Tribolium castaneum: one gene and its partner. The protein of the gene in region 2 purifies or fractionates together with the protein of the main gene of each other region. This does not show direct contact. Links are inferred from orthologs where the notes say so. Each region holds a gene or a part of one and is shown on either strand. Other genes may lie near its edges. The genes, in order: yata and Sec31.

What was found.
Region 1: the proteins of Sec31 (region 2) and yata purify together in Homo sapiens (affinity purification with mass spectrometry; 3 studies listed by BioGRID and IntAct, counting the BioPlex papers as one, with this or other methods). This does not show direct contact. The link is inferred for Tribolium castaneum from reciprocal best matches to the Homo sapiens genes SEC31A and SCYL1.

The regions. Positions count from the first base shown.
Region 1 is NC_087396.1:14,146,132-14,150,616, reverse strand, and holds the start of yata (N-terminal kinase-like protein), read left to right. Parts: upstream 1-1,407; 5' UTR 1,408-1,544; coding exon 1,545-1,658; intron 1,659-1,716; coding exon 1,717-1,980; intron 1,981-2,034; coding exon 2,035-2,258; intron 2,259-2,308; coding exon 2,309-2,714; intron 2,715-2,763; coding exon 2,764-2,985; intron 2,986-3,033; coding exon 3,034-3,454; intron 3,455-3,506; coding exon 3,507-3,671; intron 3,672-4,485. UniProt on the Homo sapiens protein: Regulates COPI-mediated retrograde protein traffic at the interface between the Golgi apparatus and the endoplasmic reticulum. Involved in the maintenance of the Golgi apparatus morphology.
Region 2 is NC_087399.1:9,888,557-9,892,383, reverse strand, and holds part of Sec31 (protein transport protein Sec31A), read right to left. Parts: intron 2,083-3,827; coding exon 1,721-2,082; intron 1,668-1,720; coding exon 1,605-1,667; intron 1-1,604. UniProt on the Homo sapiens protein: Component of the coat protein complex II (COPII) which promotes the formation of transport vesicles from the endoplasmic reticulum (ER).

The DNA of each region.
Region 1 (4,485 bases), on a different chromosome or scaffold from region 2:
AAAAAAATTAAACCCCTTCTATTCTTTTTTTTTTAATTAAAATTAGGATATTTTTGCCGCTCTTAAAATACTACCGCCCTGCTTGGTCTATCTAAATATGCCACAGCCTAGTATGTTAACACTGAGTTGTTAAAAAAGCTGGAAAAAAAATTGACAAAGTTACATTGAACCATCCGTTAGGAGAATGGATTTGCGAATGATGAATAGTTTTTATTAAAAAAAAATACACACTAATAAAACTCTCTGGAAGTCGACTCATTAATTCATTAATTGGTTAATAAAGATTAATTTGAAAATATTTCTCCAATTGTGGATGGAAATAAAGTGAGGTTTGGGCATAATTACTATATTTCTATAATTAGATGCACGAAACTCAGTGGCTATATAAAAAAATTATATAAAATCGGTTACCCCGTGGCGTTACGTCATAAAGATTCGGATTATTCCAACCGTGGCCTTTTTCGCAATGGTTCTTCGTTTTCTTGTACGTGGTCCCGTTTTTTTGTTGTGTTCTACAAAACAGAAATTACGCAATTTGAATACTCCAAGTCCAGAATTACGTGCTTTTTTGTCCCAGTGTGTCTGCATGTATTTCAACACGATACTAGTTTTCTCAGTAACTATTACTAAAAGCAAAAAGGAGCAATAAATTGAGCTTTTTTCGAGGGTAAAACATACTTTGTTCAGATGGAAAATCTTTAGTCGGTACATACACCGAAGGTCGTTTTAAAGGGGACCTACTGTTGTTATCAACATGGAATTTGGTAAAATTGTTCTCATCGTAGGATGGGAGACCTTTAAGAAACTCAGCGACAGACTAAAAGTGCAAAAACTCAACGATTTAGCTTTTTACCCAAATCTGTACCCACTTACCATTTTGCCAGATGTAACACCTGCAAACTTGAGTTATACTTCAAACTTAAGCCTAATACCTTAAATTTACTCAGACTATTTAGAGCATCTTAGCTTTACTAATTCTAAGCCCTTAAAGCAATTAATTGCACAAGAGGCAAATGGAACATCCCGATAGAAGTTTACACTATTGTAACTTTACTAGTGGGCAATTGTTTATGGAAGCAACAAACAAAAAGCTCAATGAAATGCAGCTGAAGCTTTTTACGTTGCAGTAAAAAGCTTGAGAACATGAACAGTTAAGAACACCTTTGTGCGACTATCACCATATTTTGATTTTTTTACTTTGACAAGTAAATGACGGTTGTCTGTTCGCGAGAATCGGCGTCCGAGCGAATTCCCCAAGAACGATCTACATCAAATTATCTTGATCAGAACGAGTTCTAGTATTTTTTAACACTTACAGCCATCTATGTGGTTGTAATTAGTAATTGACATTAAATAGTTTATTATTAATTTTTTCGGTTGTAAAGACGTTCTCAAAGTTGTTCCATTAGCAAAACTAGTTTCCTCTTTTACCGGCCATTATGTACGACGTCAAAATTTGTGACATTTAGGTTAGATTTTTAAAACTTTGTACAAATTTCGTATAATTCAGCATAAATCCAGCATATAATCGCTAAGCTAGTGTCATGTGGTCATTTTTCTCCCGCGATCCTTCCAAAGACTTCAACTTTGAAGTCGGAGAGTTAGTCAAGGGGCTTGACGAACGGAGTGTATGGACTTTACATAAGGGCAAAAGAAAGGTATTGCAATCAAGATCTCTCGAATTTATTTAACTGTGACGAGTTCCTCGTGTTTAAGGGCACAAATGAGGAAGTTTCAGTGTTTGTTTTTGATATAAAGGGTGGATCAGAAACACAGTTAGAAATTGCCAAAGCGGCAGTTAAACGGCTAAAAACATTGAGACACCCTAGTATTTTAACTTATTTAGATAGTTACGAATCGGATAAGGTTTTGTATTTAGCGACAGAACACGTTGAACCGTTGGCTAGTCACTTAGAGAAGTTGACGATAGAAGGGGCTCAAAAGGATTTGTATATTGCCTGGGGGCTGTTCCAAATCACGGTATTGCTGTTGTGATGATTGCGTTGATAAATCTTTTAAAACAGCAATTTGTAGCGAGCTTTGTCTTTCTTAAATAATGACGGTAATTTGAGACACAACAATGTTAACATTTGGTCAGTTTTTGTCAATTCTTCCGGTGAGTGGAAGCTGGGAGGTGTTGAATATGTCTCAAGTGCTCAAGACAACTCCAATGTTACTATTAAAATCATACCATCGTTGGAAATGTACGACCCTCCTGAAAAAAATGACCCAACTAAACAGCGGTCAATTACGAAATGGTTTGTTTGATTATTTTTATTATTCTACGTTTTATTTGAACGTGTTGTAGTTCTGCCGATATGTGGGGGCTGGGTTGTCTAATATGGGAAGTTTTCAATGGTCCTTTATATCAACAGTCTTCTTTGAAACTCCTAGACAAGATTCCTAAACAGTTGGGTCCATTATATTGCGAGTTAGTTGGAGCGAATCCGTCATCAAGGCCTAATCCTGCCGATATTATAACTAGATGCCGAAAGCTCGGCGGCTACTTTAAAAACGATCTTGTAGACACTTTACTATTTTTAGAAGAGATTCAAATTAAGGACAAAAACGAGAAAAACCGATTTTTCTCAAACCTAACACCACACTTAGACAACTTCCCCGAAAGCGTGTGTAAGCACAAGATTTTGCCCCAGTTGATAACAGCCTTTGACTACGGGGACGCCGGATCTGCAGTTCTAGCCCCCATGTTTAAGGTATTTTTCTCCACTTTTTGTCCCCAAAACCCCAATTATTGTATCACAGTTGGGCCAACTCCTTGACGAAGCCGAATACCAGAAAAAAATCGTGCCCTGCGTGGTCAAACTATTCGTAAGCAACGACAGAGCAACAAGGTCCCGACTTTTGCAACAACTTGAACACTTCATCGGTCATTTGCAAGCTGCGACCGTAAACGAACAAATTTTCCCTCAAATTGCTCACGGGTTTATGGATACCAACCCCACAATTCGCGAACAGACTGTCAAAGTAACTTTTTTTCGTGATTTTGTTTTTTGTTAATGTTTAAACTTGCAGTCTGTGATACATCTAGCACCTAAATTAAGTTACAACAATTTAAACGTGGAGGTTTTGCGGCATTTTGCGCGGCTCCAGTCGAAGGACGATCAAGGGGGCATTCGCACCAACACTACGGTGTGTCTGGGGAAGATAGCACAACATTTGCATCCGCAAATTAGGCAAAAAGTCCTCATTTCGGCGTTTATACGAGCGATGAGGGATCCCTTTCCTCCGGCACGTAACGCAGGCATTTTGGCCTTGGCTGCGACGCAACAGTATTATCTTTTGAACGAAGTTTCGTCGAGAATTTTGCCGGCATTGTGTCAGTTAACGATGGATCCGGAAAAGTCGGTCCGGGATTCGGTTTTTAGGACGATTAAAGGGTTTTTGGGGAAGTTGGAGAAGGTGTCAGAGGATCCCAGCTTGAGGGAGAGTATGGGTAGGTTTTTTATTTATTTATTTTATGGAATAATGACGGGGTTGTGGTTTAGAGGCCGATGTCAATACTGCAACCCCGAGTCTAAGCAACGCAGCCGCCACGTGGGCTGGGTGGGCTGTTACAGCAGTTACAGCGAAATTCTACAGAAGTCAATCAGATACAGTCAAATCAATGAATCCTATGGCCAGTAAAATGTTAACTAAACCGGCTTCACTAGGTAAGTATTTACGCATAATTTGCGGTCATAAATAAAATAGCAAAAATAGTTTGCGGTATAGATTTTTCAGCGGTAGATTGGACTTTTTAAATATGTATCCCAAAAAACTTTAAAAGTACTCTTTCAAAACTACGGAAATGCCTACGTCCCATTTTACCGATTTTTTTTTAATAAAGTTGATAAAAAAGTTATTATTAATGATTAGATCTCTGTCATTCAAACTAAATTGAAACTATATAAATTAATTTTTTTTTAATTTTTCTGAAGTATTCGTTACAATTAAAAATTTAAAATTATAATTAAAAATGCTAGAAAAAAATTTTGGTCGTTGATTCATAAAGCAAATAAAATGCTCAAGAAGTTAAAAAATGTTTTTAAAAGTTTATAACTGAAATTTTGGGAAACGTTTGAAGTTAAGACACCAATAACTTTATTTAGAATTATCTTATTTTAGGCAAAAGTTATTTTCGAAGACAACATTTAGGTATAATATTTAATATCTTGGAGAAACCAACTGGAGTATCACTTACGCTCTTATTATCTTTGATAAATATTTTTGTGTTTATTTACTTTTAAGAAAAAAACTTTTTTTTAATTGAGTCAATTTTATGACACAAATTTTGCTTAAGCTTGGGGCTATACATACCCTTGATCCGCCTCTAAGTGCTGAGTTGCGGAGAGTTAATTTCTTGTTTTTGATTAATTGAAATTACTCTGACTCTGCAGTTGCTGAAAATACCAGCGGTAGCAAAAATAGAGTAAAAAATATCTTGCCATTCGAAAAATTAATAAAATAATACCTTGCAGTAAAACA
Region 2 (3,827 bases):
GACTCTTGTAGCAAGCAAACATAAATATTTCAAATTCGTTGGTGCTTTGTGAAAATAAATAAATTTAGGTTTAGATAAAAACAGTGAAATACGGTAGTCGTTCACCGTAAACTGTATTTTTATTCCAAACACCTTGATACCTCTCTTTATAAGAGTTTAAACGTAGATGGAATACATTTAAAAGCAAATAAAATGTTTAACCATCAGTTCATCAAAGAAATAATGAATGCCAAACTAGACATCAAGAACCAACTTTCAAAACTTATGATGAGTATATAAAAAAAAATTACGTGATAGACATAATTATGTGACATATGTGAGTAATTAATAAACAGAAAACAAAATCAGTGTAAATTATCTTTGGGTAAAAGGAAAAAAATATAAAATAGTGTATTCTAAAGAAGTCTAAATTTCAGATATAAAGACTACTATTAGCTGTTTCAAAACAATAAAAATTCTATTTCCGTATTATTTTATTAAATAAGATTGATAAAACTGTAAAAAAGTTTTTAATGATTGTAAAATGATTTTTAATGATAGTTTTTTAAATCTACTTAAAAATTATAAAATACATCAGCTATTATTTATTTGAAATGCATAATTAATATATAACAGCTAATTTTGAAAGAAAATGAAACATTGGCGTTTTTATTTTATGTATTTATTTTATTTTATTTTGAACAGCTAATAAAAAAGAATTAATGAATCTCCAGATCAATGACAAAAATTCTAAACGAAATTATAAAATAATTTTGAATAGACGAAGAGTAGAATCTAAAACAAAATTTGAAAAATGTAGAAAAAGTGTAAATAGTTATTATAATTGTTTATAGTGTTTTATTTTATTTTAAATTTTATTATTTTATAGTTTTTTTAAACGAGTTTTGAGTACAGACTACAAAATAATTCCAAAAAAAAAAATTTAGACAAGAATCTATAAATAACTCTAAAAAGAGATTTATAAAACAATTTGGAAGATGAGTCTAGATTTTAGACCTACAGACGGTTTTAGAAATGAATCAGAAAAATTTAGAAAAGAGTACAAAGACAATGCAAAAGAATAATCTGAAAAAATTCTAAAGAAAACTGTTTTTTTACATTTATATATTTTTTATATCAATTTCTCTTTTAACGTAGAAAATTATGGTAATTTTTCGTCAGCTCGTTTGAGAATATGCATGTGATACACTTGGCAACACTGGCAGCAGTGGGAGCCCTTGTAGTAATTTCATTTTACCAAAATTTAATCATAACTGAGTTAAAAGTAACTGTCTTCATTATAACATAGTGCAAATAGACAGTGCAGTTAAATGTAATTTAAAAAACTATTATAATAAGACAAGTTAGTAAATACCTACGTCTTGCTCTTTTGTGAATAAGTGTCTCTATTGAGAATCTGTGAAGTTTAATTATGAATTACCAATAATTAGGTTTAAACTAATGTTTTTTGCATGTTTTCGAGAGATTATCCTGTCATTCAAATATTGTTACATAAATAGGAATAGCCCTGTAGAACGAAAGCTTCTTTACCGTCAAAAAACTGCGGTATAAAAAGCGCAAAAAAAACAATCAAATCACACATTTTTGGCCACCCAACACAATACCTTTGGTTTCCATAATTTCGTCCCAGCATGCACTGCTGACATTTCAACATTATCACCGTAACACTTTCAAGAGAAAAATTATAGACTTGAATTGAAAAATTCTTAACTATTATTACCTGTGGTCTCAATGGTTTGTTTAGTGGAGGTGGATCGTTCCAGCCGGGGGCACTAGAAGGAAAGTATTTTTCTGTGGCAGGTTGGCCCATCTCGCTCGTCATAGGCGGCGGTGGTTGGATATTTGGTACCAAAGGAGTGGGATTGAGTGGTGGATTGGGTACCATTGGTACAGGATTGGGTACGTAATTATTATTGGAAGGAACCAAGGGTGTTATTGGTGATGGGGCCCCATAGTTATTGTTCTGGAAGTTGGAGACAGGTTGGGGGGCGTACATGTTCCTCGTAGGCGCTCCGTAGGGGTTGGAGGTTACAGAGGGGTCCAGAACGTATTTACGCGAAGGCAAGCCCGTGCCAGAACCACCTGAAAGAGTTTTTTAAATTTAAATTGACGATATTAGAAAAATATGTTACTTTAGTAAAATACTTAAACTAGGATTGGGCCATCCCTAATTTCAAATTTCGAAAAAATCGAGCATTTTTCTGTCGAATTTGAATTTGTCTAGTCATTTTACAAATTTAATATCGTAGGCTTCGAATTTTTGACAATCTCTCCCAAAGTGTTATTTTATTACTTATTCGAAAAACCTTTTGAATTAATTCTTGCAATTTTGAACAAAACTGCCCCTACAGGATATTGTGTAATTATTTTTTGACATTTTGTGTTAACGTCCTTGCGTGCTCGCCTGAAGATGATACAATAAAGTATCGAAACGTCATGACAAATTTAAAATTTTTACTTTCTTTCTTGTCCTAAATACCATCTTCGACGCAGTAAAAATATTATTTTTGTGTTCTTTTATTATGTATTACATATTTTTCGAGTTTTTCGAAAGATGAAATACATATGCCCGGTTGCACAAAAGTAAATTAATCGGCCATCATATGATGATGGTCCGTCAAAATTAATTTCGTTTAATTTTCTTTAGTTTGTCACTTGCAATTGTCGCAAACGGACCCCACATAAAATTATTGTTATTTATTACTAAAACAAAAATCAACATTTCCTTGAGTAAAATTTCCGAAATATAGGACTACCTTCAGTGATTAGTGCTTGTTGTGTACTTTTCCAGTGCTTAACAGGTATGTTTAGTAGTATGCAGTTTTTAAAATTTCGAGAAGTTAATGTGCAAGCAGATGCCATAAGATGAGTGTATTTTAATGAGTATATTGTACCACTTACTGAAAGATTTATAGCGCAAAAATATTTAACAAAATTTGAATTAAAAAATTGTATTGTAAAGAAGTCAGATTTTTTTAACTTGGCATATCGGTACAATTTACAATATTAGTTTTTGTGAATCCAAGACAAAATCTCTTCTTTTTTTAATATTTCTTTCATTCTTACTTTTTTCGAAGTTTTTTCTAAAACTTTGAAATAAAGTTGGCAAAACTATAGCAAATGTGACATGTATTAAAATTTAAAAATTGACATTTTTGACACTAAAACTTCTTGTTTTCCAAAAATTTCGAAGAATTTCGTCAAAAATATGACACGAAATCTCTAAGAGTATTTTAAAATGATTGTGTTATTTTTTATACTTCATGTAAGCACTTTTTTTTAGGTAACAATTTAATGAGAGTCTTTTAAAAACCGAGCAAAAAATCACCAAATTGTAATTTACTGAAATTAATAAATTACACTAGGATGTAAATCATAAATGACATTACTTAGACTTTTTCGAGCATTTTAGTACAGCTCATAGCAAAAATGTAATTACTATTTCGTAAAAAATAGGCCGATAAATAATCTAATTTGTTTGAAAATGATTTTAAACCAAATATTGTTTTTTTTTCAATATTGGAGAAATTTCCTTACACTTTTTGAAAGTTAGTGCATATTTGTTTATAAGCAGTATTGAATGTTGTCTATTTTATCCTAAACTAATTACTAAAGGCTAAGTTTTTCTACTAATTTTCAGCATCCTTGCCAAAATAAGCCAAGAAATCAATGAATTAATTAAACGTTAAAATTGTGTTACGAGTATTTTTGTTATTTCGAGTGTGTAAACTCATTGTGGACTGGGAATTCAACGAAATTTCGCTAGAACCGTAAGAAAAAAGTTACAAATTCTGTGAAAAATTTAATGACAAGATTGACGAGATATC